Rattus norvegicus: one gene and its partners. The protein of the gene in region 2 interacts with the protein of the main gene of each other region in a biochemical or structural test. Links are inferred from orthologs where the notes say so. Each region holds a gene or a part of one and is shown on either strand. Other genes may lie near its edges.

Region 1 (4,230 bases), on a different chromosome or scaffold from region 2:
CATCAAACACTAAATTTAACCCAGACAACTGAAGTATTCTCATGCCTCTTCACTGGGCTGACCCCACTCACCCTTCTTCAGGTCACCTTGGCCTCTAAGAACTTTCCTTGATCTGCCCACGTCTTAGTCCAGTGTGGAGCCACTGATTACTTTTTTTTTTTTTTTTTTTTGTCTGTTTTAAGGATTTGTTTTACTTAGTTAGGTATGTGCAGGTATCCATATGTGTGTATGTGAGTGCAGGGACCCAAGGAAGTGCGAGGCATTGGACTCCCTGGTGCTATGCGACTATGGAATCAGCTCTGTCCTCCGTCTTTACTTCTAGGCTTCCTTAGCAAGTGCTTTTAGCAGGTAAGCCATATCGCCTGCCTCTTAACTGTGTTTTAAGAGTATCACCACATTAGACCTCAAAATTGAAGTGATCCTTCCGGCTCTGCTTCTGGAGTGCTGGGATTAGATGCTACTATACACCTATCTCCAGAAATCTCATCTTTTAGAAGCGTATGACTCCAGTGCACATGCACTCGCCCACAAGCATGCACACTACCACAAGCTGCCCTTTGATCTCTGTGCCTGGGCACACGCACACATGTGCACACACTCATTCTAAATAAATGTAAAAAAGAAACGTTTTTTTTAAATTTGTGGTTCTGAGTTGAACGTGGTTGCATATACCTGCAACCCCAGTGTTCCATAAGTAATAAGATCGCAAGTTCAAGGTCACCATGGGTTATAGAAGAGTTCAAGGCTAAACTGAGCTACACAGCCCCTCAAAACAAGCCCCAAATGTATGCTCTTAGTCTACCATCAAAATGAAAATGGATTGAAACTTGGGGGGATAGCTCAGCAGTATAGCATCTGTCTGTAAGACTGGTGGGTGGGCTGGAGAAATGTTTCAGATAAGAGCATGACTTCCAAAGATCCTCAGTTCAATTCCCAGCAACCACATGCTGGCTTACAACCATCTGTAATGAGATCTGATGCCCTCTTCTGGTGTGTTTGAAGACAGAAACAGTATACTCATACATAAAAAAATAAATACATTAAAAAAAAAAAAAAAAGACTGGTGGGCAAGGGGATATGGAATGAAAAGATACAAATACCACTAAGATTCAGTATTCTGACCAAATCGAGCTCCACTCAGAAACAGAATAGTCCATGAAAATGGGCACTGACCCAGCGCAATACATACCTGTCCCGTCTCATACTTTCCATTTTGTTTTGGCACCTCAAACACACCAACTGTCTCCAGCACTTTGCCCTCAGCACGGTTTCTGATCGGGAAGGAAAAGAAGATAGCAGTCCTCAGTTAGGCAAAGCCAAACAAACGAACAAAGCCCCTTAGCACACTGCAGGACCAGGGCAATGACAGCGGAGGATCAGGATGCTGCTTTTCCTCCTTTAAGATCCAGCCTTAGGCATCCGCTTGGTGACGGCTCTCCCAGTCTTCCAGGGTTTTGTGTAACTACTCCAGACTTACTTCCTCCGGTCTTTACTTAGCATTCCCAAGGTCGTGCACACTTTCACCCGCCCTCCTGGTTAACAGTGGGTTAACCATCCTTCCAACTTTGTATTTTAGCTACTGCCATGCATGCCTTGAGTCCATGAAAGACTCTGTTCTCTGAGAGAAATGCCTCGTGTGTAAGAGCATTCGTTCTGAGCAGAGCAGTTCTTCTGTTTCTCTTACCCACTGCTCCTTGACAGTGTATTCACTATGCCTGGCATTGGCTACTTTGACAAACTGTTCTGAACCAAACATGGTTCCACACATCTGTAATCCCAGGGCTCTTAAGGCTAAGGCTGGAAAATAAATAACAAGTTCTGGGCCAACCTGGCTACATAGCATGATTCTCCTAATTCTACACATTCACCTGTGCTGTAAACATGACCCCAGGACCTAGCATCTCTAGACTTCCAAAGGCACCTCACACAGCACTACACTTAGTACTTACTGCAGTCTCTCCACCCAGTGTCTTTTCACACTTACTTGTCTTAAATAGCCGATACCTCCCTCAACCACCATCAGGTCAGTTAACCTTTTAAATAGGATTGATTCTGCTATGGACCGTCAGAGCACTGCGATTTTATTTTGGAAATGTTAACTTCATACCCAACTTTTCAGTCCTGTCTGATCCCTACAAGGCTTTGTTTACACCACCACCCCCAAGCCTGGAACCCTATTTCCCAAGTCACATGGGCAAAATCAGTCTCCCCAAGGTCACATGGAAGTAGGACCCACAAAGGTAGGCACTTAAGTCGACTTGTTTCCCCCATAAAAGCATCTGAGAGCCACTGACCCAAAAGGGCCATTAAATGGCAGCCCACTACTGGTGCTGAGGACTCCAGCCAGGATGGCAGGATTCCCTTAAGAAGAGTTACTTGTTCTCCCTCGGAGCTTCCCTGCACTGCCAGGGTCCTGGGCAGTGCTCCCTTCTTGCTCTTGGCACATGTCCCAAGCAGCGCATGTCGGCTCCATGCTCCGCACCCTTTCTCAGGTGACACTCCGGTTGCCCAGAGTCAGGCCTCCTGGCTTCCTTAGCGGCTAGATAGGAAATGCTCCCTAGAGTCTGGGCCCGGTTCCCTGTCCCCCTTTCCGTCCCTCACCGGGACGACAGATGCCTTCGTGCCGTCGCTGTGGCCACCGGCGGAAGGGCCCCTGCTCCACCGACCGCACACAGTGGCCTCGACCCTCGGGTCGTGGCCAGTGACCGAGACCACCAGCGGCTGCCCACTGCTAGGGCCCGTCGGGCCACACAGCCAGCCATGTCCCGCCCGAGCGCCCGCTCGGCTGCTGACACAGGGCCCGACCCGCGGCGGGGCGCCGTCCCGCCCCCGCCCCACACTGCCCCGCGCCTAAGCCCCTCCCTCGCCCTCGGGTCCGCCCCCCGCGGCCGCGTGTGCTCCTCCAGCTACATCCGGCGCTGGTGGGCGGAAGTCCGAGTTTGGGATCACCTGATCAGAGCGTGAGCCAGAAATGGCGTCCTCCTTGCTTGCTGGCGAACGACTCGTTCGCGCTTTGGATCCTGGCGGAGAACTGGAACGGGAGCAGCTGCCCCGAAAGCTGCGTGCCCAGCTCGAGGCTGCTCTGGGGAAGAAACACGCGGGCAGTGATAACGCCACGGGCCCCCGGCGCCTGGTTTCCTTCCGTCTGATCCGAGATCTGCATCAGCACCTGAGAGAAAGAAGTGAGCGGTCCCCAATCAAGAGTCGCCGCCTTATTTTCAGATCTAATCCCCTCTGAGTCGTTCTTCTTTTTTTTCCTATCACTCTCGAATGCCTACTGAGTTCTCATTTATCCACTCCAAAAGCCTTCTCATAAACCCTGGGTTTAGGACTCCATTTTAACTTCCGTGAAAATTCTTCGTGTATGACAAAACGTATTTTCAGAATTTGTTGAGTCCTTTTTTAGGTCCACCTAAGTCCATGTGACTTTTTAGGAACTCGAGAGTCTAGCCCAGTACTATCTGCCAGGTTGAGTTTCTCCATTTTGAGGCCATGTATCTATAGTGAACTTATCCTGTTTGGGAAAAATGATTTTTCCTTCCATCTCAAAGGCAAAGGGAGAGAATACAAGGCCCCCAGTTTAGGGGTGAGGGTAGGGAAACGGTAACAACAACAACAAAACTATTGAAAGATTGAAAGATCTGAACTGGAGAGTTGCATCTAGTTCTAGACATTTTAAAGAGGTCATTTCTCCTCTTCAGACCTATTTATCTGTCAAGGTAGGGAATAGGATAAACTAGCATGTAACATGTTTTGCCAGAATTGACATATCCTGGCCAGAAGTGCAAAAGGTAGATGATCAACTATTCAGACTTAAGAGAACCTTAGAGAAAGATCCTCTAATACAGTGTCCTCTGAGTCATTAGCATCACAACTCAATCCTGTCTCTGTCTAGGATGGATTTATTATTTTCACAGAAATAACTTACCATTGGTAGGGTAATTGAAAACTGACTGTTAAAGTGAAACCGTGTGGCACTAAAAATATACTTAGGTGGAATTGCCCTAGATTTTTCTTAGTTGAAAATTATCTTGAGTAAAATGAAAAATAAATGAATAAACACAAGGAGAGAAAGAAAATGATCACAAGGCTGGGCATGGCATATGCCTGAAATCCTAGCATTTGAGGGGCTGAGGCAGTAAGATTGTGAATTTTGGTCTAGATGAGGTACATGAGAATTCAAGAGATAGGCAGGTGTATCTTAATGAGTTTAAGGTTAGACTGATCATA
Region 2 (3,500 bases):
CTGCCTACTGTGCACTCAAAAGACACACTGATGAGTTGAGAGCTATTTTTAAACCACATCAGCTATAAGCACTGTATAATTCTATAAAAGTGCAAACTGAAGGCAATGGACTCACTAAACACAAAATTCAATTTACAAGTGCTTACGTTTCAAAAGCATTTCTCTTACAATCTCTGAAACAACTCCATGTTTACACTAGTGACACACACAATACTGATTAATAATCATGTATACAAGATCAACTAGCTCTAAAATCTTCCTCTAGAGAGAATGGAGGAAGCTAACAGACCACTTAGTGGTCCGCAGATGGACCAGTGGCCTTTCCATGCTGCAGTCACTGTTAGTCACTCCTTAAGTACTTCCATTTTAAAAGAAACAACAAAAACCCAGAAGTCCAGGCAACATGCTAAAGGACAATCTCTGGTGAACAGTTGACAGGAGATCTACACTTTCTTTTCCATTATTCAGGTCATTTTCAGTTGTTCTCATAACTGACCCTTGCTTTAAGAATCCCCGTCCAAGTGAGTTACTCATTCAGCACTGCTCCTGCCATTGCGTGAGCCCGCCTTCTATGTGCACTACCCATCAGGCTCACATTGTCTCTCCCTGCCACTTCGAGCCCGCTGCCTCTCCCTAGTTCTCGGTCCAGGCTCGACTCAGGAAGTGAGGTGGACGGTTAAAGCCAACTCCGACCACATCTTCTCTGTGCTCGGCACCCCACACCTTCACACCAAGACCGGGTCCCTGCGACTCAGTAGAAATGACTTCTGAATGCCACAGAGAGGTACCAAGTTCACGCATGCCTCAATTCTCTTATCTACTCTTCCTCTGTTGTCCAAATAGCTGCTCTGCAAGCTGTGCACAGCTCACAGGTGTAAGTGTGCTCACTTCACTCTGTGCTCGCCCTCTCTACACACCCACCACCCACCTGACCAGACCGCCTTTGCCGGCTGCCGGCTTCACAGCACTTACCTTGATCTATCTGTTTGTTCAGTGACAATGAAAACAGTCTTTATCTACAGTAACTTTTCTACACTGTACTGTTTTATTGATTGTTTTGTAGTACTTGGTGTTGAACTCAGCATCACTCATGTTAGGCAAGCACTGACGTACATTGCCGGAGAAACATTAAAACAGTAATGTTTACTAGAGAGGAATACATTTTAAAAGCAAATAGTTGCCAGATGAGGCTGAGGCAGAGACATGGCAGTTCAAGCCCAGCCTGTGCCCATTATACCAAGACCCTACCTAAAAAAATCAGAAAGCGGATGGCTGATAGGAATATCAATTTGTGGAAAAGGAAAAAATGAAAAATGAGGATTCTAAAGGCAACTTAAAAACATACTCGAGATCCAAAGGCATTGAAATATTAATTAGGTCTAAGTTCACTTAACATGTGAATGTCATTCTCTATTTTTATTAGCATTGTTATTATGTTATAATAATATAATCTATAGTTGAGTTTGTTACATGTGAATAAAAGAAATACAACAGAATGAAAAAAGAATTTAGGGCTGGGGATTTAGCTCAGTGGTAGAGCGCTTACCTAGGAAGCCCAAGGCCCTGGGTTCGGTCCCCAGCTCCGAAAAAAAAGAACCCAAAAAAAAAAAAAAAAAAAAAAAAAAAAAAGGGAAAAAAAAAAAGAAAGAAAAAAGAATTTAAAGGGGAAGACTCAAGGTGGTGAGGGAGAGAAGAAATAGCGAGAGAATAAGTGGACTCATGAGCAGAAAGGAAAGGCTGCATAACCTCTCGGGAGTACACACTAAACAACACTACAACAACCCTAGGTCTTCACCTTCAGTCAGAAGAAAACACACCCTCCCACCCCAGAATGCTTTTAACTGACCTTAAAATTTGGAGAGAAGTATCGGTTGGCCTTGTCTTTGTTTGCTTTGTCAAGATCATTTTTTGTCAGGGTGAGCACAAGATACTCCTTGTCATTATCCGCACGCTCTATACTACAAATGCTATCGATTTCCTGATCACAAAGACTTCCATTTTCCACTTTTTCTGAGGTTTCCTCTGGTCCTGGTATGAAGAACGTATTTACCCAAAAGTGAAACATTTTGTCCTACAAAGAAAAGAAAGAAATGAAAGATGTATTTCACTTATTTAAAAATGTACCACAAATAGTCAACATATAAACCATATTCTAAAATGAAGGCAAACACCTTGTGGAATATTCTTATTCACTAAGTTATGTTATGAATAAAAAATAATCATGTAAACTCTGTTATCTTACTTTTATCTCTTTTATCTTTTCTTTTATTAGATATTTTCTTTATTTACATTTCAAATGTTATCCCCTTTCCTGGTTTCCCCTCAAGAAACCCCCTTTCCCATTCCCTCTCCCCCTGCTCCTAAGAGGGTGCTCTCCCACCCACCCACTCCTTCCTACCTCCCTGCTCTGGCATTCCCCTACACTGGGGCATCGAGCCTTCACAAGACCAAGGGCCTCCACTCCCACTGATGCCCAACAAGGCCATCCTCTGCTACATATGCAGCTGGAGACATGGGTCTGTCTATCTTTGGTTGGCGGTTTAGTCCCTGGGATCTCTGTGCGGGTCTGGATGGTTGATATTTTGTTCTTCCTATGGGGTTGCAACCCCTTCAGCTCCTTCATATCTCTAACTGCTCCATTGGGGAACCCTGCTTAGTCCAATGGTTGGCTGCAAGCATCCAGCTCTGTATTTGTCAGGCTCTGCCAGAGCCTCTCAGGAGACAGCTATATCAGGCCCCTGTCAGCATGCACTTCTTGGCACCTGCAATAGTGACTGGATTTGGTGACTGTATATGGGATGGATCCCAAATCCTAAGAAAACTATTTCCTATTCTAATACGGAATTTTAAAAATGTTCTGAGTTTATATGTATATAGATATAAACAAAGATCAGGTGTCATTACAACCAAAGCCCTAGAAACTAACAACCGAAGCCCTAGAAACTTTAGACTAAGTTCCCTATGACAACTTTAGTTTTGCCCAGATATGCCCAGTGCCCGTGGAAGCCAGAGAGGGATTCAGATCCCCCAAGACTGGTGTTACAGATAACTGTAAGGCAACATATAGGTGCTGAGAATCAAACCTGGGTCCTCTAGAAACCCCTATCCCATCCCCTCTCCCCCTGCTAGGAACCAGGGCTCCTAACTGCTGAGACGTGTATTCAGCCTTTTTAAAACCTTATTGATCTCAATTATTTTAATGTTGTTCAGTTGGCAATTGTATTTTACTTAGAGGAAAACAAGATAATATTATTTAAACTTACAAAATGTGGCTCACTGATGTGCACTGATTTTCTAAAACTGTTTTTATTTAAATCAGAACAGGCATGTAATTAGTAAGGAAAAGCTATAATAAATGGAAATTTATGGAATGTAATCTAAGATATATAAATATATTATAAGTATCCAATCTTCAGAGATCAGGAGTAAGAAACAGCACATCTCTAAAACTACAAGGAGACACTGAGGTAATTATCTATTTTTACAAACAATATAAAGCC
Region 3 (3,500 bases), on a different chromosome or scaffold from region 2:
GGGGCCGGGGCATGCCTCAGCCAAATGTCACCTGGTCTACCTGCAGAGACCTCAAAAGGTGAGCACACCTTGAGGCCAGGCCTCCCAGAGTATATGCAGCTGCCTAGAATGCTCCTTTAGGGTAATCTAGACCGGCCTCTTCACCTGAGAGGTCCAGGCCACATCTTTGATCATTCCTCTGCCTTCCGGGAGATACCTAACCCACATTTCTCCTTTTCTTACCTTGATCCTGAGCCATCCTCAACCTAGGAAGGTGCAGGGTCTGGCCCCCAGAGGTGTCTAGTTCACCCAGTGGATATGCGGGGATTGCCTCTCTATCCTTAACACGTTGAGTAACCTTGAGTCAAATGAGTGAATTTTGCCATTCAGGAGTCTCAGTTCTGGACTGGGAGCGCCCCCTGCTGGCCCATCTAGGCAGCACAGTAGGAATCTGCTTAAAGAGCAAGCAAAGAAATCAAACGTTTCTACCACCATTCACAGTCTTACTTTCCCCCACCATTTGCAGAGAGGAAGCTAAGAGAGTCTGCAAGCCAGTCCTTTTGTGTCTCCTGGCAGGTGTCCGCGAAAACTGTCACCCACACCCTTGGGGAATAGTTCCAAGGAGGAGAGCCAGCTAGAAACGAACGTGACTTTCTGGGAGGAAGATCAGGAATATGAGGTGGTGAGCACGCTGCGCCTGCGTCACGTGGACCAGCCACTGTCAGTGCGCTGTATGCTGCAGAACTCGATGGGCAGAGATTCACAAGAGGTCACCGTGGTACCACACTGTGAGTGCCCTAGCTGCGGATGGCTCTGATGAGCTCTCACCCCTTCCTTGATCCCACCTCACTGAGTCCGAGTTCCCAAAGCAGATCAAGTCAGCATACTCAGAAGAATGTTACAAAGTCTACCAGAGTAGGTTCCTAGGTGCGCACACGAAATGTGACATTGACACAAGTGCACAAACACAACTTTATACACCACAAACACGAAACACATTGACATTTAGGTGTAGAAAGTGAAACTGGCACGCGAGATGCATGCTGTAAACTTGCATGAGCCGGTTGATACTGGGAGTCAGGCGTACACTCTTCACGGGCACGCCGTCTGCGCCGAGGAGGCTTTGTCTCCAGAGTATATGCGTGTTAGCATCTACTCAAGCATACCCAGTGCTGTTCGTGGATGTGAAACTGCAGAATATATTTTTGTGAGCCGTGCGTATGAGACCAGCCAGATCTAATATATCAAATGCTGAAAGATGAGTGGGGATTAGCTAGCTCGTGAGGGCTGTGGAAAAGCCTAGCATAGGCTCTGTGTGGGTTCTGAGGAGTTGAAGCAAATGAGCCCGGATGCAGGGCACACTGTATGTGGATTTGGAGTAGGGGAGGGATTAGGGAGGGAAGTGGTAAAGAATGGGGCTACAGGATGCAGAATACAGCTACAAGATACAGGATACAGGATACAGCTGCAAAGAGTATTTCGTAGACAATCAAACACAGACCCATGCACACTGCGCATATACCTGAAAACAGAGACATGCACACACCCACGCAGGTGTACACACACAGAGGCTTCCGCAGGCTTGTACATGTCTGCTTATGTACATGCCTGTCACCTGCCCTTAGAGGAAGGGTGAGCTTTTAAAGCATCCTTACTGGGACTGCAGAGATGGCTCAGAGGTTAAGTGCACTTGCTGCTCTTCCAGAGGCTCTGAGTTCCGTTCCCAGCACCCACATCAGGCAGCTCACAACCACCTGTAGCTCCAGATCCCGTGGATCTACAGCCTTCTTCTGACCTCTGTGAGCATCCACATGTGTGGCATTCTGTCATACAAATGCTCACATATATACACACAAAAATATATAAGATATGTGTTCATTGCTTTAGGCATCGCAGATTTCTTTGCACTTGCACTGCCAAGCATATAGTCCTTACGGTCTAGGTGTTAGAAAAATTAAGTGCCCTTATTCCCCCATATTCTCATCTATGCACACAGGTAGACTAGCTCTGGGCCCGAGTAAATGCAGAGGAAAAGTCATGTGTGACGCCTGCACAGGACGCCATGTGCTATTACACGGAGACCCAGCTATTACACGGAGACCCAGGATGACTCTGATGGGTCTCTGGAGAGTGCAGGCTTCCTTTGTAAGACCAGGATGTAGGGATGTAGGGAAGAGAGAACAGAAATGTCAGCCAGTGACCCTGAGAAGGAAAAGATGGGGCTAAGCCAGAGGAAGGCTCCCTGGGGAACAGAGGAGGGCAGGAAGAAGCAAATTCCCAGAGCACAACAGCTCCTGCTAAGTGGGAGAGGACAGGGGATGGGGGTTCAGCCAGGCTGACTAGGGAGGTGATGTAAACAGTGAGGCTGAAGTCTTGGGCTAGAGAGGACTCAGGGCTCAGGGAGACCTGCATGTTCACCTCAGGGCCCCGGGAGGTGCATACTGACTGTGCCACACACACTAGTGGTCCCCAGGCTGGGGCTGGGAGGAACAGACTTCTGGTGGTGGATTATTCAGGCTGCTGAAGTTCAGAGTCAGCTCCTTCGGGAGTCACTCGGTGAGTGCCTCAGCCATTTGGTTAGGAATGGCTCTTAAATCTATGACCCAGGAATGACTGCCCAATAGGGCATGGACTCAGAGAAGAGGGGGTCGTGGCCTGGTCCCCAGAGTGCCTAATGCTGTGAGAGGCATAGGTCATTCTCAGGAACCAGAAGAGAGTTCCCCAGCCTAGCTGGATGTTGCAGAAGCCAGCCTGAGCCTGACTGTCATCTGAGGGGAGTCACTGAGGGGCCCTGGGCTTGTAGGAAAGACCAGAGTGTAGGCCCTGAGGTCAGATATCTAGGCAGTAAGAGCTCACGTGCTCAGCAGAGCAAGTCCAACGGATCTGTGATGCTCCCAGCAAGATGGGGAAAGCAGCTACCCAGATACTGTTTGCTTATGGCCTACTCTGGTCTTTGTCCTCAGCCTTGCCTTTCAAAGTGGTGGTGATCTCAGCCATCTTGGCCTTGGTGGTCCTTACTGTCATCTCTCTCATCATCCTCATCATGCTGTGGCAGAGGGTAAGCCTGTGTATGGGTGCAGAGTGGTACCCATATTTCCTCACGGTCTCCACTGTATGTTACACAATCCAGCCCATAGGAAAGGCACAACACAGAGTTCAGCCTGGAGCTGACTTAGAGCGTTGCTGGGTCTCCAGCTCCCTCAGTCCTTACTGGGCTGACGTGATCAGTCCAGGACTCTTGCCCCTGCTCTTTCCTCTGCCTCAGTCCTTCCCGCTCAACTCAGTCCTGGTGCAAATGGTGCATTGTGGGTGGACTATCATGGCCCCAAGATTCTTTCAGCTCTAACCCATAGAGACTGCCATGAGTCACAAGAATGCAATCTGACCCCAGGATTCTGTTCTGACGCTCTATTCTGACATTTCCCCTTTCTGTAACTCCAAACACTTAAGATTCCGGAATTGGGACTCTAGTCCCCCTTCATCCTGTCATTATAAGATTCCAATCCTGTGACTCCAAGATC
Region 4 (3,355 bases), on a different chromosome or scaffold from region 2:
GACAGGCTTTATCCATGTTAGTACTGGAGAGACACTTCCTTGTCTTTCCCATTGTAAGTCCTCGATGACAGGGATGACGGTGGGACAAGGTTCCATAAACTGCAAGTCTACATGGTGCTGACGGTTAAAAAAAAAAAAAAAGCAAGACAAACTTTTCTTTCTTTTTTAATATCTATATAAAAAATAACGAGCGATTTACAGATCTTTCTCTAATCAGAACCTCAAGTGTATATATAAAGGTACTGTACAGATATAAACATTTACAACCAGTACATCCATATTCTGCTCAGCACTCCAAGGCCACATTGCTAAGTCAGTATATAATCAGTACAGTGACGTGTTACTTAGGAAGAGCCACATCATATTGACAACATGACATCAAAGTTATGTCACAGGTTAACAATAAAAATAGGATTTGTATCACTAATTGTGAACTATAGGGAAAATAAATCATTTCTGTGGTACTAAATTCTTAGTATCAAGCCTCCTAATTTGCGCTATTCAAGTAGTTTTGAGATGGGTTCAACACAGTTCTGGATGGAAGCATGTGTCATAAGGGGCCAGTACAGTTGTCACAGTGGAATTTGTCAGACTCACAAGGTAACAGAATGAGTGTTTAGTGTTTAAATACTCCACAGATAGACAGTTCTGAGAAATGTCTGTATTTATAGATGTTTCTGAATGCTGCGTCAGGGAGCTGATGTCTGGATCTATTGTATGAGTTTAAGAACTGTCTCCAACTTTCAGCAAACATTTTTATTAGACTTTAAAAAGAACTCTGAAAACTTTGTTTTTAAATAATTAGCTAAAAATTAAAGTTTCAATACACACAGTCTATACCATATTAGTCCTGACTTGTGGAGGAAGCCCAAGACAGGCTCTGCTTCTAAATGCTGACGCTCGCATGCCTGCCCCTCCTGACTCCTACGTGGCAAGGGCTGGTGCTTTTTCTGGCCGTGGACTGTAGAACTGGTCTCGTGATCAAGTCCCTCACTAAATCTATGATATTTTGGGTCTTCAACAATATATTAAAGACTAGTGATTAATATTCAAAATCTCCAGATGTAGTAGAGCTTTTCTTTAAAGAGAAACAAGCAGTGCTTCTACATGCTCTTGTACTTCCCCCAAGGCTACCGCTGATCTGAGACACTGTCACTACATAGGCGATGGCTAACATGGCAGGAGGTTGTTAATTCTGTTGCTTACAGTACGTTCTCGTTTGAGCATTCAACTGTAAGGAGTATCTTTAACAGTTACTTTAAACACCTTACTTAGCCGTAAAAAAAGCATTTCTAATATTTGACCTTTCCTGTAATGTGATGTTTGTGAATTGCATTTTTAAACTAGGATGGTCAGAAGCTGTGAGAAGAGGCAAGTGCCCACTTTAATGATGAGCTAACAATTTCTTCCTCTGCAAGGACTCACATATTCCCGTCTGTAAACATGCAACATGCTACTGAAAACATCTTCAAGCCAAACTGAACTGTTTGATCAGAATGGGAAGGATAAAACAGACATGATACAGTAGATAACTTGGCACAAACACAAAGTGAGTTGTGACCACACTGTTAAGATCATGTCACTGCTGAGCGAGCGGCCTGTGCAGGGCATGGCAGGTGAGCCCTTGGATGCAGCTCCTTCCTGAGCATGAGGAAGGGCAGCCAGCCAGGGCCAGGTGGGTCTTGGCAATCTCAGAAGCCCTTCATGCAGCCTGGCTACCTGGTATTGAAGAATTTCTGGGGGAAAACCACAACTCTCCACCTTCAAAGAATTCTGTGTTAGTCAAGATTACAACTTACTTTTCTTTGTTTTATACGAAAGGTCACAGCTGTTTGTCAGCCATGCCAGCAGTGCCTGTGACTTTATTTGCACGTGGCACCCTCCAGGGTCCTGGAGTGATGGGTGCTTTCTTGACTGGAGAGCTACTCTCAGGTGCGCCCCCTGCACGCTCCTTGCCTCTGTCAGTGACCTCTGATGCTTTGCTTAATGCCATCTTCTCTCCCGCTTCCTGCGTGAGCGGCTTTGCTGAGGTCTGGACGCTTTCTCCTGTTTTGTCTCTACTTCTTTCTCCTGTGCCTGGCTTCCTTCCTTTCTCCTTTTCAGACACTACCCTACTAGCAGTGTCACTAGTCTTTTTGGATGGGAGAGACGCTTCATCAACTTTGCTGCTCCTTTTCTCTGGAGACCTTGTTCTGTTTTTCCCCAGCTGACTGAGCTTCAGATCTTTCCTGCTGACCCCTGACTTTTCTTTCCCCTCTGGGAGCTGTTCAGGGCTGTCACTAGAGAGGCCTGCTGCTCTTCGGCTCCCAGCCTCTGATAATTTGCCTTCAGTGTTTGACAGGCTGTTGCCTCCAATCTTTTGCTGCTTCCTGGGGCTAGAAGACCGTCCTCTGTCTTTTCTACAGGGATCTTGTCCAGAGCCCGCCTTAATGGTGACCTGACCTTTATTTTCTCCTTTCCTAGGGCTGAGTGACCGGTCTCTAGATTTTCCTTTGGGGTCACTTCTAAGGGGCCTGGGAATCTTTTCCAGATGTTCCTCTGAATGTCGATTAACTGACTTTTTGGGACTAGCAGATCTACCTCTCCGTGTAACACCATTTTCTCCTTTAGGTAGATTCTTGTCACCATGCCCATGACTTCTGGATGGATCCTTCTTACTCACATTTTTCTGGACAGACTGATACTTCATCTCAGGCTGGCTTCCATTTAAAGTGCTTTTCTTTTCTTGTACAGTGTCCTTTAATTCTTCTGCCTTTTCACATGTCTGAACTCTAATCAGAGAGTCTTCAGTTACTGGCACATGAGACTCTTCAAATGTGGCAGCAGAATGTGAAGAGGGGAGAGGTGGTGGCTGTTCATCATAAATGACATTGGAAGATGAAGGACTATAAATATCCCAATCACCTAAAAAGTGATTGAGTAGAACAGTGTTAGATCCAAGGACTATAAATAGGAATAGTGAGTTTGAACTGACAGCCATTTGAATATGTTACTGGTCGCATAGCCCGAGGAGTATGTTACATAGCTTATTCACGTTTACACTGATCTCTGTAAAGGCAGATGCTTATAGATATCTGCTCATGTACGGAGGGGAGATTTGTGTCATAATAATTTTTCATGTAGGTACTATAAGACATAATACGATCTGTAAATTCTTTACTCATTTAGCCAAATAAGATACAAATAATCAAAGTGGACCAAAGTGCCTGATCCAATAAACTTATTAATTAAACTATTATTACTGTTTAACTTAAGGATAGGCCAAAATTACTAGTGAAAAACACCAGACTGTGGTAACCAAAATGAGGTTTATGGGCACTTTCTTGTTAGGCTGTCAAATTTAATGTCAAAAGGA
Region 5 (3,500 bases), on a different chromosome or scaffold from region 2:
CTGTTTTATTGCAAGTATTAGGAGTGAGTCCCAAGGGGTTGGGGGAGGGGGCTCCACTATTAACTACAAACATATGTGGAGCTGGAGAACTTTTAGGAAAAAAAAAAAAGCGAAAACATGAATTCCTTTCAGTCAGCAGGCCCAAGGCAGAACGGCTAAGGCCCTTGGCAGACCACCACGCATACTCCCTCTCTCACTCTTTTCTGTCTCTGTGTCTGTCTTGGCTGGCTGTGCCTATCTTTCTTTCTCTCTCTCTCTCTCTCTCTCTCTCTCTCTCTCTCTCTCTCTCCCTCTTTCTCTCTTTCTCTCTCTCGGTTTCTCTCTTCTCTGATCTTGCTATGACAGCCGCAGCACCCAGTGGACAAGACAAGGGTTCATGGGGTCGTGGGTTGGTTTCTGGGTGGTGTAATACCACCTTCCAGTCTGCTGAGGCTTGGGGAGCTCTGGAGAGGCCCAAGGTCCGTGCAGGAAGAGACCGTGGGACCCCTGGACAGGCAGAGAGGGGCTCAGAAGTTGCTGAAGATCTCTCGCTTCCGGTTCCAGTCCATCTGTGGTGCTCTCTTATTGACCCGAGTAGCTCGAGCCTTCTCCTTGGCCTCGGCTGCTGTGGGGCTCAGGTGGAGACCACTTTCCTGGAAGGGGTCTCTCTTCCAAGCACTGCCATCCTGGGGGCAGGCAAGGTACAAACAGTGAGCCTTACCCGTGGCAGCCACTTTCCCAAGGAACTAACACCAGTGGCCACCTCAGGGCCCGGACCACTAGCCCAAGAGGCTTCTTGGAAGTGGTAGCCCACCATCTTGGTAGGTATCTCCACAGAGACCCAATCTGAAGGCCTCCGAAGCCCCATGTGTGAGCAGAGTTACCTCATTGTCCTTCTCTGAGCCTGGCAGGTCGCTTCGGGAAGAGCACACGGAGCCACCATTGAGCTAGGAAACCAAGGGCAGGTTGTGGTTTCAGCATCCCCATCCTGGTGCACCCAGATCTTCACACGCGCACACACACACACACACAAAGCTGCAGCCAGTCCTTGTTCAGCAGTGAGCACACTTCTGTCACTGCCCGGGCTAGGGCACAGCTGGCACCTAACAGCCAAGTCCAACCTGAGCAGTCATGACATGGGAGAGCAGCTGTGGCCATGGGAGTCAGCTATGCGAATTCACCTGTTGTCAAACCAGGACTAGTACCCCAAGAAGGTAAAGATCACTCAGTAGTCATGTAGGAACAAGGCACGGAAAGACGGCCAGGTATCTGCCCACATTGTGCGTCTGAGCTGCTGCCAACCCCTATACAGACTCCACAGTGGCTGGGGTTTTTTTGGTTTTTGGTTTTTGGTTTTTTTGTTTTGTTTTGTTTTGTTTTTGAGACAGGGTTTCTCTGTGCAGTTCTGACTGCCTTAGAACTCACTCCGTAGACCAAGCTGGCCTTGAACTCACAGATCTGCCTGCTTTGGTTCCCAAGTGCCAGGATTAATGCCTGGCTAGCATGGGTGTGTATTTTTGAGGTAACCAAGCCAGATAGGTTTCACAACTGTGCAGAGATCTCCAGGAGAGGCAGCCTCTACCATGTCTAGGGACACGGGTAGAGGTATACCGATGGTCCCCTTGGGCACACCCTCTCACCTGGGCAAGGCTGGTCCCGTTCGTGACTGGTGATGGCAGTGGACCTGTGGGGACAGCAAGTTAGCGGCTGCACTGACTGACCCTACCCTCTGCCCCGAAGGCAGCATCCTACCTTCCACGTGATCCTCGGTGGGTACGACCCGCAACCGTTTGAAGTGTTCATCAGTCTCGGGGTCTACAACCAGCAACCGGGCCTCATCCTCCTGTGCCTTGATTCTGGCAACAACTTCGGCATGGCGCAGCCCCTCCACATTCTGCCCATTCACCTGCCGCCACCCACACAGGGTCAGAAAGGCCTGAGGGGCCCAGTCGGCCCAATGCCACCCAGCCAGGTGTGCCATCAAATATTCATCGAAGCCACCAGCAGCCAAAGCAGCTAGAAGAGTGCCAGCTCAAGTTCCCTGTGTCTTCCCTCCTCCTGCAGGGACCCAGGGCCATACATGGACACTCAGGGACATACAGATACAAACACAGGGACTCAGGGTACCTCAATGAGCCGGTCTTGGGCCCGGAGGCCAGAGAGAGAAGCAGGAGAGCCAGGGTCCACAGAGCGGATGTATTGGCCAGGCCGAGACTTGTCACTGTGCAGGTTGAATCCGTAGCCCTGGGGTCCCCTTCGTAAGTGGCAGAGCCGGGGACGCAGCTCTCTTGGGGGCCCATTGACATCCTGCAGAACCACAGAAAGTGACATCGGGCTCTATCCGCAGCCTCCCAACCCTCATGCTTTAAGGGACCAATCCCCAGATTTCATTGACAACGCTATGTGCCCTGTGACTGAGAGGTTTGGAGGAGTTACCTGTTACACAGCTTTAGCTGTGGGGTTAGGGACACAGCATGTCACCAAGCATGTAAACATCTAATGAGATAGCTGCTGGCAGGACCTATGGAAGAATCCATAGGGGGCACTGTGCACAGCTTGGGGATCTCGAAGGAACCAGAAGGGATAACTGCCCCATCCGAGGCTCAGGAAGCCTACCTTTAGGTTTTGCCTCCCCCTGTCTCCCTTCTGGCCCCCCTTCTCTAGAGCTAGTACCCTGGAGGCCTGAGCAGTCTCGTTTTCTCCTCATGGACTTCAAGAGGCTCCCTGGGTTACCGTGGCAGCTCTTTGCTTTAGAATTCCAGCACTAACTCCTGGAGTCACTGCCCCAACCCCATGGGCCCAGAAAGCACGGGCAGCCAAGTTAGCCTATGATGCTCCCTAACCCACAATATGGAAGGGCTCATGGTACCCACAGGGAATCCCCCGCCACTGCCCCAGGCTGCCCTTCTTTACCTCTGGCATCCTGCAGTAGGTCTCTGGGCCAGGAGGCTACGCAGGAAGGGGCCAGCCTGCTGACCTCCCACCCCAGCCAGGGGCCACGCCAGAGATGCTGCCTCTGAATGGTCAGCAGCTGCCGGTGCCTAGTTACACAGGGCCAGCGGCTGGGGTGGGCAGGCAGGTGGCAGCTCAGGTTTCTGGGTGTGAGTGCAGGTGACAATGTAGTAGCAGGGGGCATTGCCTCCCTTCCACTACTACTCTGCCCCCTCATGGCTGATGCTGAGGGACTCTGGAGAGGAAAGGCTGCTTCCGGTCTCAGGGCAGATCTCTAAGACTCAGGTAACTCCTTTCCCCCAAGCCTGAATACCTCTACACTCCTGCTGTCCACTACCACCACCCCTCTTTCGGTGTTTTGGAGAACCCAGGCTAGCCTCAAACTCCCAACTCAAAGTGATCTTTTGCTTCAGCTTCTGAGTGCTGGAATTATAGGCATAGACCACACGCTTAGCTCCAAAGCCTAAGTGTGGGTTGAGCCATGTCCACAGGCAGCAGCCAAATGCAGGAATAAGTACACTCTTCTATGCTGGACCACTCCTAGTTTTAGGGTTCTGGGATAGCCCTTT
Region 6 (4,128 bases), on a different chromosome or scaffold from region 2:
GCTCGCCAGCCTGAAAGGCAGTCGCTTCCGCACACCGACCAACGGCCCACGCCTTCAGCCCCAAAGCCCGGCTTCTCAGTCCGTGCCTTCCCTAACACCGCCCCGGGAGGAAAGACCCCGAACCAAGCCGCACGCGCCTGCGCAAACCTCCGCTCCGCGCTCTCCGCTCCTCCGCTCCCGCGCCTTCCTCCCGCCCCGTTCCCCAGGCACCTAGGTACGTCACAATGAGTGGCGTGTAAGTCGAACAATCACAGTTGCTGCCCTCGAGAGCACTCGGGGAAAGAGGAGGGCGGGGCGAAGGGAGGGACCGAAGGAGCCGGCTTCCAGGACTGGCTCGTTCTCGTCACCCAATCAGAACGGTCTGGGGCGCAGAGGGGCGGGGCCTGAGAAGAGGGCGGGGGTGGGGCTGAGGGAAAGGAGCGTGAAGGCTGCGGGACGAGAGGGCGGGCTCCCGGAGATTAAAAGCAGCCAATCAGAGCGCGCCGGCTTCATTCGGAGAGCGGCGTGGGGCGTCGCCGCCGCCGCGCGCGCCGGGGGCTGGTTAAGGCCATGAAACAAAAGAAACCCTGAGAGGGGAGCCGCTGCCGTCCCCACCCACCCACCTAGTTACCTACCTCGGCTCTGTCCCCAGCCCCTCCACCCCGCCCTCGCGCGCTCCGGCGGCCCTGGCGCTCCTCAGCCCAGGGCGCGGGCGCCGCCGCCGCCGCCTCCCCCGAGGAAAGGTGTTTGCGCGCTGAGCAGGGCCCGGGCCCTGTCCGCCATGGGGCTCGCCGCCCGCCGCGCCTGACGCGCCTGCCGCCGCCGCCGCCATTGACAGCGCGCCGCCGCGATGCCGAGCGGCAGCTCCGCGGCCCTGGCCCTGGCGGCGGCCCCGGCCCCCCTGCCGCAGCCGCCTCCGCTGCCGCCGCCCGCGGGAGGCCCCGAGCTCGAGGGGGACGGGCTGCTGCTGAGGGAACGCCTGGCCGCGCTAGGCCTCGACGACCCCAGCCCGGCGGAGCCCGGCGCCCCGGCGCTCAGGGCCGCGGCGGCGGCGGCGCAGTGCCAGGCCCGGCGGGCGGCCGGGCTGGCTCCGGAGGAGCCCGGCCGCCTCGCGACCTCCGAGACGGCGGAGCTGGAGCTGGAGGTGGACGAAGAGGAGGGGGAGGAAGCGGAGCTGGACGGAGAACTGCTGGAGGAGGAGGAGCTGGAGGAGGCTGAGGAGGAGGACCGGCCGTCGCTGCTGCTGCTGTCGCCGCCCGCGGCCACCGCCTCCCAGACCCAGCCGATCCCGGGCGGGCCCCTGGGGTCGGTGCTGCTGCCGGCCGCGGGTTTCGATGCCCGGGAGGCGGCGGCCGCGGCGGCGGGGGTGCTGTACGGAGGGGACGATGCCCAGGGCATGATGGCGGCGATGCTGTCCCACGCCTACGGCCCCGGCGGCGGCGGGGCCGCCGCTGCCGCCCTGAACGGAGAGCAAGCGGCCCTGCTGAGAAGGAAGAGCGTCAACACCACCGAGTGCGTCCCGGTGCCCAGTTCCGAACATGTCGCTGAGATTGTCGGACGCCAGGGTGAGTGCGCCGAGGTCTGTCTGGGCACGGCCCTGGGCGTGGGTGGGAGACGAAAAAGACGAGCGTGCGGCGGAAGAGAGAACCCGGAGAGTCCCCCAAGTCCACCGAGAAGGGGTCTGGGAAGAACCGAGGGTCTCCGAGAACGGGACGGGTCACCTTGCGAAAACCCACGCCGTTCTGCTTCTTCAGGCGGACAAGAAGTGTTAAGTTTCTTGGGTCACCCAGTCTGGTAGTGTTCACTGTAATCGGTGTATTCGTGGAACCCCGGGCTGGCGCGGCCCCAGAAACCTCAGTAAGGTGGTAAGGTCAGGTCAGAAGTTGTGGGTTACAGGATTGTTTCCGAAAGCTTCGAGATTGGAAGTTTGTGTCGCCGAGTGGCCTGTAAAAGCAATCAGCCAGCCTTAGAAGTGCTTGTGCTGATGAGAAATGGACCGACATGGAGGCATGTGCAAAGCTAATTCGGAAGGGAAGAGAGGCCTATCACTACCTCCCTGTTATTCAGAAACTTGGCTTTAGACGAGCACCCCAACTCTGTTGATCTTGGGTTCTCAGCGGACACATCTCTCTTAAAAGGCGATAGTGTCCGTCTTTTAGAACACTTTAGCTTGTACCATGAAGGGAAAACTGGGCATTTAGGTAGTTACGGAACTTTATGCATTTGTGCAGTTCTCCATAAATTTTCTTCACTTGTTAGCACACCCGTTCTGCAGACAGACTCCTCCCACATTGTTCAGACAAAGGATCTATGTCTCAGATTCCAGGAGTAGGTTTGTGAAGGTGGGGGAAGGGGATGCACAGAGTACCTCGGTATCCGACCTTTTTAGGGAAGGTTCTGTATGCCTCGGTGTAGTTTTTGCCCCTTTTTGCTACCTGCTGCTACTGCCGTAATACAACATGGTTGATACATACCTCTTGTTGAGGTCAAAGAGAGATGATGGCACTGCTGGTGGAATGAGCTCATTTTCCCAAGTGGTCTAAAGTACGAAAATACGAGATTGGTGACTTCGCATGTAAGAGGTGGCTCTCCTTGCAGGAGTTTGATAAGAAAAATCTTATTTGGAACCTGGACAGAAAAAAAAAAATAGCTTGTTTCAGACTGCTTGACTAATCAGTTTCACATGTCTCACTTGCCAGTGGTTGCTGATCAGGATAACAGATCATGAGGAAACTCTTTTATGTACATGAAATAAAAATGCATTTTATTTATAGATTCAGAATGAGGTGGCTTTTCATTTAATATCATTGAAAGAGTGCTTGATTTTGCTGGATAATGAGTTTATGAAAAGTAAGTAAGCTAAAAATTTGAGGTTGATTTATACAGAATTTCTGCTCTTTATTAAAAACTAACCAGTTAATAAAATGGCACACAAGTAGTTAACTATATAAAGGCAAACAGTCCCACACACAAGAACATGACCCATAGAGAATGCAGCTTTGCAAACAAAGATGCAATATTGAACAACATGAGGAAAGTGTGGAGGAGGTCCTGCTAGGTGGTGATTGGAAAATCACCCAAATGTCATTAGTGATTAGAATCTGGTAAACTGGGGGATGGAAATGACCTGAGAAGTGATTGTTGAGGCTGTGGAATGTAGAGATTTGAATGGCATGCTGGGAAAACAACATAACTTACTTCAGTGTTCATGTGCTTGACTGCTGAAGCAAAGGAAAAGATCGTTTGCTTGCTAGTTTTACCACATGACAGGTAGTATATCTTGGTAGATTTACTTTAACATGAACTTTTGTCCCTTACATTCTAAAGCACCTCAACTGTAAATTGGCAGTATTTATATACATTGAAGTGGCAAGCTTTTATTTTGTGCCATTGTGTGATGAATGTCTTAGTGTTTCTTCTTGGGCTGTTCTTACTGGTTAATAAGGAAGTGTGAATGCATGTCTTAGAGCATGGAGACAAGTTGCTAGCTGTCGTTGTACTTACTCTTTCCTAGAGCTGCCAGACTGTTAAAGCTCGTCACCTTCCTCTATCTTATCTTAAGGCAGAAAGTCTTGCCCTTTTCCTGTTTGGAGCCTTTCAACTAGTGGATCATTGACCCCTTTGCCATCCCCACACCCCAGCAGCATGGTAATAAACCTGTATTTGCTAACTTACAGAGAGCTAAGTGGCTTCTAATAGTCACAGTCTTTTACTGTGCAAAAACTTCTTGTTGAAAGTACCTGTCCTAAGTAAGTTTTAGAAAGTGAGTTGGGGGACAGGGCAGGGAGGTAGATCATTTTGAGTTTTTGTTTGTTTTGGAGGAGCTAAATGTTCATCCTTAAGAATTAACCATTCCTGCCTTCTCATTCATTACCTGAAGTCCTAATTCTCTATTTGACATCTCTCAATTAGTTTTGGAAATAATTATGTCACAGATGGAGGCATTCATGACTTCAGCTCTGAAGCAAAGAGTATAGGGTAACTGGAATTCTGAGTCACGCATGCAGTTCAGCAAAGCCCTTGGAGATAGCCTCTGGTTCCCTTGTCTTTCAAAAACAACATTGCTCTTACTTTGTTTTTGTCAGTGAGACAGGTTTCCATCATGTAGCCTGGCTGCTGGGCTCACAAACATGTACCTCTCTACCTGAC
Region 7 (4,298 bases), about 50 Mb from region 2:
AGGCCATGTCCCAGGTCAGGGAGAACATGACGGGCATGAAATGAGATACAAAGGGTTTGTGGCGGCCACCCTCCTCCTTGCTGAGGATATAAACCTAGAGGAGAGGAGCAATAAGGATGGAATGGCCTGGCCACAAGTCCTGCTTCTATGCAAGGGAAACTTGGCTCAGCCCTGCCAAACATCACTTGGAGCCCTCACCTGGGCCTCCACCTTCTGGTGGGGTTGGATGGATCCTGGCTTGACCATGACCAAACCACGCCTCAAATCCTCTCGCTTTAAGCCTCGGACCAGAGCACCAAGGTTATCCCCTGCCTCAGCCCTCTCCAGGCTCTTGTGGAACATCTCAATGCCTACAAGGAAGAAGACAGGAGAGAAAGTAGTCTCAGGTAGAATGAAGGTACAAGATCTACCTGGGAAAGGATCATTCTGACTGCGCCCTTGGATCTGAAATCATCTTATACCTGTCACCACAGTGCGAATGTTCTTGTTATGTCCCAGCAACTCACACTCATCTCCTTTCTTCAAAATGCCACGTTCTAGTGTACCTGTCACCACTGTGCCGCGGCCTGGAAAGAAACAGGACATGTTATTGGGGACCTAGGGTTAGATGGCCCCTATGGGGAGGGGTGTAAGTGAGCATGGGCCTCACCAGGAATAGAGTAAACTGACTCTACAGGGAGCAGAAAGGGCTTCTCCAGGTCCCGGGTGGGTACTGGGATGTAAGTGTCCACAGCATCCAGAAGCTTCTGCACTGACTTCACACCTAGCTCAGGATCACGTTGCTGTTGGAGAGAGAGAGAATAAGACCCTGAAACTTCTGCTCCTTTCACAGGATGCTAAGTCTCCAGGTACAGAGCAAAGCTCTACCCCATCCTCCACCAACAGGAGCATGCGCCTTCACCTCAAGAGCACAGAGGGCCGAGCCTACGATGACTGGGGTTTCCTCTCCTTTATAGCCAAACTCAGTGAGCAGCTCCCGGATCTCCAGCTCTACCAGCTCCACCATCTCCGAGTCCTGGACAGCATCTGCCTTGTTCACATACACCACAACATGCTCTACCCCAATCTGCAAGCGAGAGAAGAAACTGAGAAACTATCCTGAGTCATCTAACTTCTCACTTAATTTCCATCCCACTCAGACCCCAGTACCTGCTTAGCTAGCAGTAAGTGCTCTCGGGTCTGGGGCATGGGGCCATCATTAGCTGCCACCACCAGGATGCAGCCATCCAGAGGGGCGGTGCCTGTGATCATATTCTGAGTGGAAGAGGAAGAAGGTCAGCTTAGTTCAAGGACCTCTTCACCCGTGCATCACTAACTAGAGGTAGCTGTGAAGATCCCCATCTCTACCTCACCACCCACAGCCATGGCCACAAATCTTAGTTCTTGCGTCCAAACACCGCCACTATCTTATAACCTCCTCCCCTCAGACCGCCACTGACCGGAAGCAGGTTTTGGCTGTCCCCAGCAACCCTCACCTTAACATAATCTGCATGACCAGGGCAGTCTGTGTGGGCATAGTGTCGGGCAGCAGTGCTATACTCCACATGAGCTGCATTGATGGTGATACCCCGAGCTCGCTCCTCTGGGGCATTGTCTATCTCCTCGTACTTCTTGAACTTAGCTCCACCTCCCTCGGCTAGAACTACCGGAGGAAGAGAACACACCTCTAAACTCAGGTTCAGAGCTACAGACGAGGCTCGGGCACAAGCCTGGATCCCTCATACATAAACAATCTAGATGGATAAATCTAAAATCTCAAATTCTATTAGGAGAGATAACTTTGGAAGAGAGTGAGCAACAGAAAGAATTTTCCAGGGTGTCTGCCCATCAAAGACGCTTCAACTTCTTCACTGACAGCGTCTCCTTACAGAACACTCCACACAGGATAGAAACCATTCAAACTGTTGCAATTTGTGCCTCACAGAGCTCTTCTTGTACAGGGAAACCTGTCTCCTGCATCTTCCAAACCACCCCTCGTCGGAAGTGTCTTTTGGCGCCAGGCTAAACTTCAGCAGACTACAAGATACCCACCCTACTCCCTGGTTCTGGCCCTTCCAGCTGACGGGGCATTGCCGGTCGCCCCCAACCAAACCCAACACAACTCTACTCACTTTTCGTGATGGCTGCGGTCAGGGTGGTCTTGCCATGGTCCACATGCCCGATGGTACCCACATTCACATGGGGTTTGTCGCGTACGTAAGTCTTCTTGGCCTCCACTGCTAGGCCGCGACACAAGAAGGGCGATGCCGGGGCCTTCAGCGGCCGCAGCCGACCTTGCAGAAATGGGGTTGGGCTGGCGCAGAGACCTGAGAGGAAAAGAAGGCGCTTGGAATCAGGGAGTGGACCCGAACCCAGCTACCCTCCACGCCCCTCACGTCTCCAGGCTGCCTACGTCCAACCCGCCCCCTCACCGCTGAAACGGGGCGTCGCTCGTAATAGAGTCGCTGCCGCCATTGTGGTAGTACTCGGCGACCGGGACCGAGAACTAGGGACCCGGAGCCCGCGCGTGTAGGGAAGGACGGGCACTTGGAACAGCAGATCACTTCCGGCGGAAATGAGGGTCGGGACAGCGACTTTGGGAGCCTCTAGCAGAAAGTTTCTATGGCCACGGCCACTTATATCCGGGCATGGAGCGGAAAAGGAGGTTTCTGGTGTCTCGCGGGGGATGATGGAGAATTTTCACAGTTCAACCTGAGGGGCCACTTTAGGAGGAAAATGCGGAGCGCCCCACAATGCACGAGCGCTCCCGAAGGCTTATGGGTGTTGTAGTTTTCAGGGCAGCGGGCTTAGGGTTAGTTTGCTATAGGCATTAGCTCCGGCTGAGTTCGGTCCATAGGTTAAGTTCTCCCAGCCTGTGAGAGGCAAAATTAACTAGAGTCAGGGATAGAGTCCAGGGAGTTCCAGTCCTTGACCATTAAATACAGTCCCCATATCTCTTGCAGGAATCCTGTGCTTTCTAAGGTTCCTAAGTTAAACTCTCCCCTCCAATAGTTCTTTGGCCGCTTGAGAAACAGGGTCCCCCCCCCCCTTTTTTTTTCTTTCTTCCTTCTTCTCTCCTTCCTTCCGTGACAGAGTCTCACTACATATCCTTGGCTGCCTTGGAACTCTCTATGTAGACCAGGCTGGCCTCCCAATTCTAGAAAGATCTCCTGTCTCAGTGCTAGGATTAAAGGTGTGCACAGCCTGGCCCAGAGAAATTTTCTTAGTGGTAATTACTCCCGCCTTATTTTGTTCATGTGACATTGAGGAAGTGGACGAGCTTTGGAAGTTTCTAATAATCCGAGTCTTTTGTCTCCACAGCGGAGCGCGTGGTGGATACCCAGCAAATGTGTAGTAGTGACTTTTAACTGTCACGTTCATCTCTTCCCACCGCTTCTTCAACTCTCACGAATTGGTAAGAGAAGCTACTTAACTCCGACTTTCTTTCTGAAACTTACCCTATCAAAGCTTAGTTGACAGCGTTTGTTCTAAATGCTGTAGATTCCCCAATTCCATCCCTAGAGAAATGTCTAAGCACAAACAAGTTACATTACATCTCCTCTAAAAATCAAATGGATCGAGATACAGGTACACACTTATGATCTCAGCACTTTAGACACGGCGGCAGGAAATCCAGTCCTAAGTCCTGAGCACAGACTGAAACTCTGAAAAGGCAAAGATAAAAGGACAATGAAGTGTTACTAGAATCCTGTGCTAGACTCCTCTCAGTCTTGGTGATCTTTTTATCTAAGGAGTCCAGATGAGGGGCTGAAGAGACAGCTCAGCAGTTAGGAGAGATGGCTGCCCTTGCAGGGGACCTGGGTTCAGTTCTCAGCACCTACGTGGCAGCTTATAACCACCTGTAACTCCAGTTCCCAGAGAATCTGGCACCTTCTTCTGGCTGGCTGTAGACTCTAGACATGCACACAGTGCACTTAAGTACACGCAGACAAAACACTCATACCCATAAAGTAAACATTTAAAAATTTTCAGAAGAGACCTGCAAAGTGTGATTATGGAATGGAGTTCATTCGCACAGTGAAGTGGAGCATTTCAAGAGGTGAGAGTGGACAATGTCCAATTTGTAAGTCTCACATCAGTGCTTCCAGAGGTCATTAGTCTTGTGTGTTCTGATCAGATGAGGTTAATCCTTTGATGGATTTTGTGGGTCTAATCCTCCATTTCTTGCTGAGATTTCATCTTGCAGCAAGATACCATTTAACTTTTCTGTAGCTGGACTTTGGCTACCTTCTAGGTTCTTCTTTCTTCCACCCTTCTCCACCCTCTTTTTCACCCCTTCAATTCCCTAACACTAGATA

The links.
Region 1: the proteins of Pten (region 2) and Poldip2 form a complex in vitro, tested with the Homo sapiens proteins (2 studies listed by BioGRID). The link is inferred for Rattus norvegicus from reciprocal best matches to the Homo sapiens genes PTEN and POLDIP2.
Region 3: the proteins of Pten (region 2) and Pdgfrb form a complex in vitro, tested with the Homo sapiens proteins (2 studies listed by BioGRID and IntAct, with this or other methods). The link is inferred for Rattus norvegicus from reciprocal best matches to the Homo sapiens genes PTEN and PDGFRB.
Region 4: the proteins of Pten (region 2) and Magi3 form a complex in vitro, tested with the Homo sapiens proteins (2 studies listed by BioGRID and IntAct, with this or other methods). The link is inferred for Rattus norvegicus from reciprocal best matches to the Homo sapiens genes PTEN and MAGI3.
Region 5: the proteins of Pten (region 2) and Nherf2 form a complex in vitro, tested with the Homo sapiens proteins (2 studies listed by BioGRID and IntAct, with this or other methods). The link is inferred for Rattus norvegicus from reciprocal best matches to the Homo sapiens genes PTEN and NHERF2.
Region 6: of the proteins of Pten (region 2) and Mex3c, one has a biochemical effect on the other in vitro, tested with the Homo sapiens proteins (2 studies listed by BioGRID). The link is inferred for Rattus norvegicus from reciprocal best matches to the Homo sapiens genes PTEN and MEX3C.
Region 7: the proteins of Pten (region 2) and Tufm form a complex in vitro, tested with the Homo sapiens proteins (2 studies listed by BioGRID). The link is inferred for Rattus norvegicus from reciprocal best matches to the Homo sapiens genes PTEN and TUFM.

The regions. Positions count from the first base shown.
Region 1 is NC_086028.1:63,903,857-63,908,086, reverse strand, and holds the start of Poldip2 (polymerase delta-interacting protein 2), read right to left. Parts: upstream 2,801-4,230; 5' UTR 2,763-2,800; coding exon 2,602-2,762; intron 1,272-2,601; coding exon 1,190-1,271; intron 1-1,189. Other genes in the region: Tmem199 (transmembrane protein 199), read left to right, coding at 2,972-3,182. UniProt on the Homo sapiens protein: Involved in DNA damage tolerance by regulating translesion synthesis (TLS) of templates carrying DNA damage lesions such as 8oxoG and abasic sites.
Region 2 is NC_086019.1:240,106,207-240,109,706, reverse strand, and holds part of Pten (phosphatidylinositol 3,4,5-trisphosphate 3-phosphatase and dual-specificity protein phosphatase PTEN), read right to left. Parts: intron 2,072-3,500; coding exon 1,847-2,071; intron 1-1,846. UniProt on the Homo sapiens protein: Dual-specificity protein phosphatase, dephosphorylating tyrosine-, serine- and threonine-phosphorylated proteins.
Region 3 is NC_086036.1:56,794,348-56,797,847, forward strand, and holds part of Pdgfrb (platelet-derived growth factor receptor beta precursor), read left to right. Parts: coding exon 1-58; intron 59-555; coding exon 556-767; intron 768-2,942; coding exon 2,943-3,037; intron 3,038-3,500. UniProt on the Homo sapiens protein: Tyrosine-protein kinase that acts as a cell-surface receptor for homodimeric PDGFB and PDGFD and for heterodimers formed by PDGFA and PDGFB, and plays an essential role in the regulation of embryonic development, cell proliferation, survival, differentiation, chemotaxis and migration.
Region 4 is NC_086020.1:194,206,438-194,209,792, forward strand, and holds the end of Magi3 (membrane-associated guanylate kinase, WW and PDZ domain-containing protein 3), read right to left. Parts: intron 2,905-3,355; coding exon 1,823-2,904; 3' UTR 501-1,822; downstream 1-500.
Region 5 is NC_086028.1:14,167,520-14,171,019, forward strand, and holds part of Nherf2 (Na(+)/H(+) exchange regulatory cofactor NHE-RF2), read right to left. Parts: exon of another isoform or gene 2,902-3,500; coding exon of another isoform or gene 2,893-2,901; intron 2,287-2,892; coding exon 2,107-2,286; intron 1,886-2,106; coding exon 1,732-1,885; intron 1,664-1,731; coding exon 1,620-1,663; intron 927-1,619; coding exon 864-926; intron 666-863; coding exon 507-665; 3' UTR 1-506.
Region 6 is NC_086036.1:69,441,522-69,445,649, forward strand, and holds the start of Mex3c (RNA-binding E3 ubiquitin-protein ligase MEX3C), read left to right. Parts: upstream 1-1,328; 5' UTR 1,329-1,375; coding exon 1,376-1,544; intron 1,545-4,128. UniProt on the Homo sapiens protein: E3 ubiquitin ligase responsible for the post-transcriptional regulation of common HLA-A allotypes. Binds to the 3' UTR of HLA-A2 mRNA, and regulates its levels by promoting mRNA decay.
Region 7 is NC_086019.1:190,502,875-190,507,172, reverse strand, and holds the start of Tufm (elongation factor Tu, mitochondrial precursor), read right to left. Parts: upstream 2,801-4,298; 5' UTR 2,455-2,800; coding exon 2,412-2,454; intron 2,307-2,411; coding exon 2,112-2,306; intron 1,643-2,111; coding exon 1,476-1,642; intron 1,255-1,475; coding exon 1,150-1,254; intron 1,067-1,149; coding exon 902-1,066; intron 783-901; coding exon 650-782; intron 567-649; coding exon 462-566; intron 351-461; coding exon 199-350; intron 95-198; coding exon 1-94. UniProt on the Homo sapiens protein: GTP hydrolase that promotes the GTP-dependent binding of aminoacyl-tRNA to the A-site of ribosomes during protein biosynthesis. Also plays a role in the regulation of autophagy and innate immunity.